Linked DNA regions of Coturnix japonica. The protein of the gene in region 1 purifies or fractionates together with the protein of each later gene. This does not show direct contact. Links are inferred from orthologs where the notes say so. Each region holds a gene or a part of one and is shown on either strand. Other genes may lie near its edges. The genes, in order: PRDX1 and TXN.

What was found.
Region 2: the proteins of PRDX1 (region 1) and TXN purify together in Homo sapiens (affinity purification with western blotting; 3 studies listed by BioGRID, with this or other methods). This does not show direct contact. The link is inferred for Coturnix japonica from reciprocal best matches to the Homo sapiens genes PRDX1 and TXN.

The regions. Positions count from the first base shown.
Region 1 is NC_029523.1:18,753,348-18,757,748, forward strand, and holds the start of PRDX1 (peroxiredoxin-1), read right to left. Parts: upstream 2,939-4,401; 5' UTR 2,807-2,938; intron 339-2,806; 5' UTR 328-338; coding exon 222-327; intron 1-221. UniProt on the Homo sapiens protein: Thiol-specific peroxidase that catalyzes the reduction of hydrogen peroxide and organic hydroperoxides to water and alcohols, respectively.
Region 2 is NC_029547.1:59,052,491-59,056,959, forward strand, and holds the start of TXN (thioredoxin), read right to left. Parts: upstream 2,881-4,469; 5' UTR 2,680-2,880; coding exon 2,656-2,679; intron 459-2,655; coding exon 354-458; intron 1-353. UniProt on the Homo sapiens protein: Participates in various redox reactions through the reversible oxidation of its active center dithiol to a disulfide and catalyzes dithiol-disulfide exchange reactions.

The DNA.
Region 1 (4,401 bases):
CCAACAATCATCATAATTAGGACATTCAGTCATGCTGTCAACAGCTTCCCAAACACATTCCAGTTGGCAATGAACAAAATCACTGTAAATTAACTACAGTCAAGTGGTCACTGTTACTTGGAAACCAAACCAAAGGCTTCATTAGATGCTCCCCCTCCCCACCTCCCATCCCCTGCACAAGGGGAGACTGCATTTGCATAATTAGATGTACATAAGCCCACCTCTATAGTCAGAGAGCTTGATATCCTTGAATTGCCCATCTGGCATTACTGCTGTGGCAGTAAACTCAGGGGCTGGTTTTCCAATGAAAGCCTTTCCTGAAGACATCTTGATTTAATCTGGAAAAGAATTAACAGCGCAGTTTAGATAGCTGAATAGTTTGAATACATCTTACTTCCAGGTGCAAAGCATCATATCAGTTTAATTATCAATGGGGCAGTATATCAGCATTTGATCTGGCAGCAAGGCTTAAGAGCAAAACTCATTTTAAGCTTATCACCTGGGTAGTCAGGTATCCAGATGAAACTACTAAGCACATTCTTTAAGGCATGTTAGTTTCCTAAGGACACAGTTATCTTTGACCAGGAACAGCTCATTACAGGCTAGAAGCGAGCCAGCTGCCTAGAGTTTTAGCTGTATCCACACTAAGCCTTTGTTCCAATAGGTGGATGAGCTATTAAGTCTTTCTTCCTAAATTCTGATGATGAGACTCTTGTTCAAATTCACAAAGGAATGTAAGACCTCAAACCTTATTTCCAAGCAGAGTTTGATTAGTCTCTAAGAGACCAACACTCTCCATAACTACTCTTCAGCCTTGCAAACAAAGAAGCCTTGTTTTATTTACAAACAAAAGACTCGTGATTTTGATCTACAGTTCATATTAACAACTACAGGCTCACAAACTCTTAAACCAGTGCAGCCAGGCTGGTTCCCCTGAGCATTTCAGTCTATTGAAAAAGAGTAAGAGTGTGCATGAGGCCAAGAGAAGTTTACTTCTGGCCATCAATCCTAAGTCCAGTCCTTTGCAGACACGTTCTGTACAGCACTTTTGCTCAGTGTGCAGATGCAGCACTTCAGAATCCCAGTTCCCTGCAGAGCACTGCCTTTCAAATACAAAACTTCATGAACCTCATTCCCTCAGCTCAGTCTTTAAGTGATCTCACTGAAGCCATTTTACATGCTGCAAAAGAATTATCTGGCACGGAGACACAAGCCCCTGAGCTGTTAGTATTACTGAGTCTCATATTGCTACAGAAAGCTGAGTTTCAAAGACCTTAAAAACCCTGCTTGCATGGCACAAAGTCCATTCCAGAACAGGGCAGATGCACTTCATTTCTTGCCTCCTTCTCCCTTGCCACAGCTCCAGGAGAATTACCTCACATGTCATAAGAATTTCTATTCAAGTTAAACTGATCAATTTAGAGCTTCTATGAGGAGTTTAACATTTGAAGGCTCCTCTCACATGCAGAGAGGATGGACAGTAACCCCCTCCTTCATTTTGCTTTGCAAAATGCCACCTTACTCAGCACAATTAACTGCCTCGTACAAAGAGTTCCACATTCCCAGCTCATCCGAAGGGTTCACCTTCAAATGCAGCGAACCAGGACAGAATCTTATGAACCAAGGTAGCCAGAACTGCAAGGCATTCATAAGAGGATACTGAAACGGTCTAGAATGATGACATTAATAATCCTTCCGATCACTTCATGGAGCCACAAATGCAGATGCAAGTCTGAAACTGCCATTGCACAGCATTTGTCAGACCCTCAGCCAGAAAGTTCTGTCTTTTAAGCAATACCTGCTTTATCTGCAGTACATGACCCCGTGTTTTACCACGGAATTACATTCTTTCCCTGTACTCAAGCTCAAGGTCATCCCTTTGCTCAGTACTACGCCAGACCTATATTTGTTCCATCAGCGCTTCCCTGGAGCGTAATACCAGGGTCAAATCTAAGCAGTCAGACGGCTCTCTGATACTTCCCCTTTCTGATGAAGGAATTATTGTCCCTTTTCAAACAACCTGCAAGCCTTTAACATCAGGTTATAGGACTCAGTGGTCTCCTACTGCAAGAACTGCAGCAAGTGCAGTGAAGAAAGCAGCTGCAATTTGGCACGGCCTGCTCTGCCGGGCACAGCAGCACACAGCCGCGTGCTCTGCTTGGATTTACAGCCACAGCGCTTCCTAATCCGCCGAGGAGCGGAGCACAGACTGCGTGCGAGGTCCTGCCGTTCTAGAAGCAGAAGCACGGCGCTGCAAGCGAAACGCAGCTGCACCAGCTCAGAGCGCCTGGGCTGCTCGCGGCCTCGCTACAATTACAACAAGCCGTGCCTGCATTCCAACTGGAAATTCATACCTTTAGGACACTCCGACGGGAGCGAGCCTACCCTTCCCCAGCCCTACATCGCTACAGTGAACGGACCGAGCTGCGGTGCGAGGAGGGCGGGGCTGCCCCCAGCCGGGCAGGCACGAACCGCACAGCGGCCCGCAGCCGGACCGCGCCGCACCGCCCGAGGCCCGGCTCAGTCCAGCCCCGCTCCGAGCGGCCCCCGCCGCTCCTCCTCACGGGCAGCCCGTGCCCAGACCCAATCCGCCCCATAACCCTTTCTTTTAAGGGAGGAAAAAGGAAAACAATACACGCCAAACGGCTGCAGAAAGCAGCAATCCCTGCACAGCGCTGCTCGGAGCGGGCTTGGCTCTACACCTCCCCGCGGACAGGGAAAAGAGAAATGGGAGCAAAGCCGTGAGCGAAAGCAACGTGCAGCCCCAACACCCCCCTGCCCCCCAGCGCCCCCCGCCCCCACTCACACAAAGCTCCTGTCCCCGCACTCCAGCAGGAAGCCGCCAAGTGCCGCAGCCCCCGCCGCGCCGCCCCTTTATAGCGGGGCCGATCTCGCGAGGACACGGGCGCGCCGCTCCCGGGCCGTGCCGCCCGTCCCGCCTTCCCGGGCCGCCCGCACAGCCAGCATGACTCGGCACTACGGGCTGCTGCCCCATACCGCCCCATAGCGCCCCATAGCCGCCTTATCTGCCCCGCGCCGTGCGGGGCTGCACAACGGCAGCGCTCAGCGCAAGGATGGCGGCCGGGCGGTGCCGGGGGAATGGCTGATGGAATGGCTGGAGGAGTAGGGCTGGAAGCGGCTCACGGCAGGATGAGTCAGATGGATCGTAGCAAGAAATGGCTTTAATGCCGTAATAGAACCGAGCCGCTGCTATTAGGAGTCAGCAGGGAGGGAGAGGATGGGCTGCGTTTTGAGGAAGGATGAGATCGGCTGGTGGTTGCCATTGAGGTGAATGGGGTTTGTGTGGCTTCAGTCAGGCCTGTTAACAGCAGTGTGTGCTCGGTGCCGTGCAGCCGTGGCTCCAATCTCTGCCTTAACATAGCACAGCCGAGCTCTGTGCACTGAGGTGTCACTGCAGGGCAGGTACACGGGATCACCCTGCACGGCCGGACAGTCCCAATGAACAGCTCCATATCAAGCAGCCTGCCATGGCTCACAGCACCAGCACACAACGCAGCAGCGGCCTCACCATTTGTTGTGCTCATTCCTCACACTTACACACATAAAACCCACTTGTACAGGCACCACGAGGCGCTTTGCCTTGTGTTCGTGCCTTGTCCTGCCCTGCAGCAGGCACGGCTGTAGCACAGCAGAGCTGACCCGTGCCCTGTGTGCAGCCATCACACACACACACCGCTCTGTTCCCGTTGCGATCGCTGCCCGCTGGCGGCCGGAAGCGGAAGCGCAGAGCGGCGGCGTAGCCCGGTGGTTCGGCGGTGCGGGTGAGTGCGGTGCGGTGCCCCGGGCTGGATGCGGGGAGCCGGGCGGGGGCTCGTACCGGCACGGCGGGCACAGCGGGGCCGGGGGCGCTTTGCGGTTGTAGCGATGCACAGACGTGTGGCTGCTGCCGCAGTGCGCTCCTGTGTGTATCGTGCTGGCTGAAGGCTCGTCGCTTTGGGTCGGGGCGAGCTGTGACGGTGGGTGGGTGCATGTATGGCCGTAGTTTGCACGTCCCGTGTTACCGTGCATCCTCCTGGCCGGGCTGCACGCGTTGCTTTGAGTCATTGTGAGCTTTACTCTGTCGTGTCAGTGTGGGAATAGGAGATAGGTGATGTTGAGCCACGTCTCACTTGTACCAGCTGAACCTTCTTAGTTTTTTTTGCATTTACTTGTATTTTCTCCCTTCATAAAAGAGCCGTGCTGCCTTACAACGAGCAGACTGACGGCAGCTCATGGACACTTTGCATCTCCTCATTAGGGGAAGAATCTCAGTGCAAACTATTAACGAGTGTTTCCTTGCATTCTTCCCGAGTCCGCAGCCGTGCTCTCATTGCAGTGTTAATGTACAACGATATTACATGAAGCGAGATGGTTCCACAGCACACGCTGATGGTAGTTAGA
Region 2 (4,469 bases), on another chromosome or scaffold:
TGGCTTCCCCCTCAACACATAAAGATGCTACAGCTTAACTGAACGCAGTTTAAATAATCAGAGCCAGCATATATACATTATTTCAACTCCACTGTTGCCAGTTCTTGTGGAAATGCACCAGCTAGGTCCCTACAGACTGATGCATCAGCACACCAGGACAGACAAAACGCTACAGTGTGTTAGTTCCCCGCTGTGTATCCAAGTGCTTTATTCAATAGTTACCTATCATATCCTTCTAAGATTCCTCCTTCAGGAAAACACACCATAGACAAAGAAGGTTTCCACCATATTAGAAGTTGCACAGAAGTATTTCTATATACTTAAAGTTACTGTGAAAGACAAAAGCTACTTACATGGAAAAATGGCTTGATCATTTTGCATGGTCCACACCATGTGGCAGAGAAATCAACTACTATAAGCTTCTCACCAGCAGCTTTCAGTTCTGCCTCAAATTCGGACTGTAAAGAAAAAAGAAATCAAAACATTAAGGATTTCCCCCCTCATTTGCAAAAGGTTCAAGACTAACCCCCAAGTCAGCTTTCCCTTAGCTCCATCAGCACTGCATCCCCCACTGTCTTCTGATGAATTATGAGTATCAATTATGAAACATCACAATGCTCAGTCACTGAACTGTGGAAGTTTATGTAGAACTCAGCATGAACTGAGACCGTAAGCTAAACTGAGTAATGTTACACTTCTAACGTGATCCTGACGGTCCTTAGCATTCAGTTCTAATCTCCAATTTAATAGGATGTCGTCCATTTTCTTCTAGGATTCCTCAGAATCTGAGGACAAACTTCCACAGTTTCATGGTCTGATACCTTTCCCAAGCAATGGTTAGAATCAAGATGTTGCGTGGTTTACCCTACAGCATGTTTCCTAGAGCAACAGCTTCATCATATAAATATTTTATTATGCCAAGTAAATTGGGGTGTAACTCCAGTACTCAATGCAAAGCTACACAGTCTATGCCAGTAACAACTAACATTTAAGGTTAACAGAGATATCTCTGTTGCACTTTGTTACAAGAGACATTTCTGGACATCACGCTTTGCATTTCAGAGCTCCTTATGTGCCGCTGTTTTCAAAGAGCAAATGTTTCAACAGAAGTGTAAGGCACTGAAGGAAAGAAATATTTGCATGCTAAAAAACAAACAAGTATCTCAGGCAGAGCAAGCAGAGGATGCTGATCCAACACACAGGCAAGGGTGGCAGCAAGAAGTTCTTCCTCTCTCTCTTCTTCTCCACCACTGTGCTAATGTGGGGTGTATTCCTGCATCCCAGTCTCTAAAGCACAACACTGCCTCCAGCAAAGTTCAGCGTTCACATACACAGTAGTCCATGCTATCTGCTCCCAGTGGTTACTTAAAACCATAAGGCTGTTAAATAGAGCCTCACTCACTCCCACCTCCAAATCCCTGATTTCTGGCATATATTCTCACAACTTAGTGCTGTAACAGCCTTATTAATATTAATTCTACCTCCTGCACCCACCAATTGGACTATTTTCCTCAGTCCAAATGACTGATTGCTGTACCCTGCATGAGGAAGGCCATCCCTGGGACGCGCTGATCATATGACCACACATCTCAGGGCAATATTGCACAGAACAAGGGCAAAGTGGGAGGACATGGCACTTCCTGCAGATCACAACCCATACACCACTGGAGATCTGAGCACTGCTCTCCAGCTGCAGCCAGGCGTTACCCTGTGAGTCATCCCTAGAATTAGCTAAAATTGCTACAGGCAGCCTGAGAAGAGACACGAGGTCCAACGGTGTTACCCCTGAGATACCCAGCAAGGGGTAAGTGTTGGTATTTTTTCCTCAGAAAACATTAATATCCCTGAAGTAAGGAATACAGCAGGAAAACTGGCTGACCTTTCTGACTTCTAGTCTTTCTGCAGTAAGTATGGATTAATAAGATTCATACAGAAATATCTCCATTATCAGAATGGACACCTCCCCCTGTTAGTCCACGTGGCTACAGCTGTTAGAGGATCTCACAGCTTTTTCAGCAATATTTTCCTTAGTCCTCTGGAGGGGAAAAGCCCATAAACACTTTTCAAATACCCATCTGGTGCCTCCCTGAGGCCTCGGCCTCACTTTGCTGGGCGCAGCAGGCAGCATTATGTTAGCAGATTTCAGTTTCCAAGGGCCGGCTGCGAGAAAACAGGTGGCAAGGAGAGGTTCAATGCAGCAGGGATTCCCAGCAACCCAAAATGGAGGCCACCAACCAACGCCGTAAGAAATCCACCGCCCTCAGCATAGCTGGGACAGCCTTAATACAAGACCCCAGCTATAAGCACGATGTCTGACACCCACCGAGCCGCCCTTGGGCCGTGCTGATCCGGCAACCTGATCTAGTAAAGGCGTATGTTTGGTGGCCCTGCCAGGCAGGGGGGTTGGAACTACATGATCCTTGAGGTCCCTCCCAACCCGGGTCATTCTGTGATCGCGGCCATCAGCTGACAGCCAAGGGTCAGGGCGACGTGTTGCAGTTTAACCCGCTCCCGCAGTGCCCCCTGCGGCCGGAGCGCAGCCGCCATTGGGGAGCGGCCTCAGGCTCAGCGCACACAAAGGAGCGCGGCCCAAGGCCCGGCGCCGACACCAAGCCCCCCTCACCCACACCCCACCGTGCCGCCCCATGCACTCACCAGGCTGCCCACGCTCTTCACCATGGCGGCTCTCACTGTGCTGTACGGTCACAAGGCGGACAACGGGCTCGTCCCCGCGCACGCGCGTCCCGCACGCCGCTGCGCTCTCGGCTGTGTCTATACCGGTCCTCACTCCGCAACGCCAAACCAACGCTCTGCCGCCGCCGCCCCGGGCCTGCCCTTATATAGCCACCGCTGCATCGCGCATGCGCACTGAGCGCTCAGCCCATCGCCGGGCCACGCCCCTTCCCGCCCATGGCGCGGGTGACGTCACGAGGCGGGAAGGGGAGCGGCCGTTATAGTTCTTTCACAGGGCGGGGGTTGGGGGGAGCAGCGAGAGGGGGGAGAGGAGGGAAAATAGGGGGAAAAAAAGAAATAAAAAAAAAAAAAAAAAAAAAAAAGAAAGAAAAAAAAAACCAACCGTGTGACTGTAAGAAAAAGTGCTGCGTAACGCCGAGCAGGAAGTGGCGGGCAGGATCCTGCCCTGGAGGAGGGGAGGGGGTGGGAACCCGTATGGGGGGACTCCTCCTGTTTTATTTCTCGATTCTGTTTTAAAATCGTTTTAAAACTGGGTTTTTTTTCTGCCTCCAGCACCCATGTGCTGCGACACGGGCTGTGTGCTGGCCGTGCCACGTGTCTGCCTGTCCCCATGTCCGTGTGTCTGTCCCCTGTCTGCCCATGCTCCATATCTTCCTTTTCCTTTTATTCCCAGCCCCCTTGGCTTGTAAGAGACCCCAAAGATCATCCAGTTCCTGCATGGGAACCAACGGCTTCCCCTAGTTCAGCACCATCAGAGGACAATCAGTGTGCACTCAGCTCCCCGATAACCCACTGAAGAGACTGGACCTTAAATGGAGCCAATGCAGGACCCCACTGGTGACAATCTGCCATGTAACCCCATTAATACAACCCTCCAGTCCTGGCCCGTCAGCCAGCAGTTCTCCCAAGGCATTATACAGTGTCTAAGTGGCGCTGGACTTTGTGACCAGAGGATACAGTGAGAATCACACAGTGCAGCAGAAGGGCCAGTTTCACAGCAGATCCAAGCCTGGCCATGTCACAGAGGGCTGGGCACGTCCGGCATTAAGCAATGGTGCAGACAGCTGCCAAAGGGAGGAAGCTGCTGGAAGAACTGCCTGCAGCAACAGCTGCACCACGTTTTATCGCAGGAGAGACGGGTTATCTGCAGTGCATTACCACGCTGCATTTCATCTGGCCCTGACAGTCTTTAATGGTGCTTTCCCGTTCCTTGCAGCCTGCTCCTTGGGAGCACTCTTCTGTTGTAACTGACCCATTAAAGGTGCAATAAATATTTAATAATTAGATGGGTGTGCTGGGTGTCTGCCAGCCATATGCGCAGTGCACACAGAGCTCTGCTCTCACTGGTGACGTACCCAATCACCCAGCCTCTCTTGAACACTTGGCAGAGCACATCTGGTTGAAAGACGGAGGAGAAGCCATTGAACAATGACAGAAAGGAGGGGGAGAGCACTGCCACATACTGTACTTTCCAGGAATCAGCCCTGTGCTTCCAGGAAGCTGGCAGGAAGCAGGACCATCCCTGGGCCACCACAACCTCTGTGTGCCATCCCAATGCACATCCCATGAGTGATGTTCACAGGGTTCTGCAGCTGCCCACTCCCCTTGGTGTTCTGTGCTAAAAGCAGCGTGCAGGATCCATGCTCAGCACAGATGCATTGCACAGTGATGCAGGCAGGTTTCAAGGTGCAGTAATGCTTAACTGCTTTTTGAAAGCTTGGTAATAGAAGTCAAAAATCCACACGTGGCAGTAACCAGCTCATGCAGTTCCATTA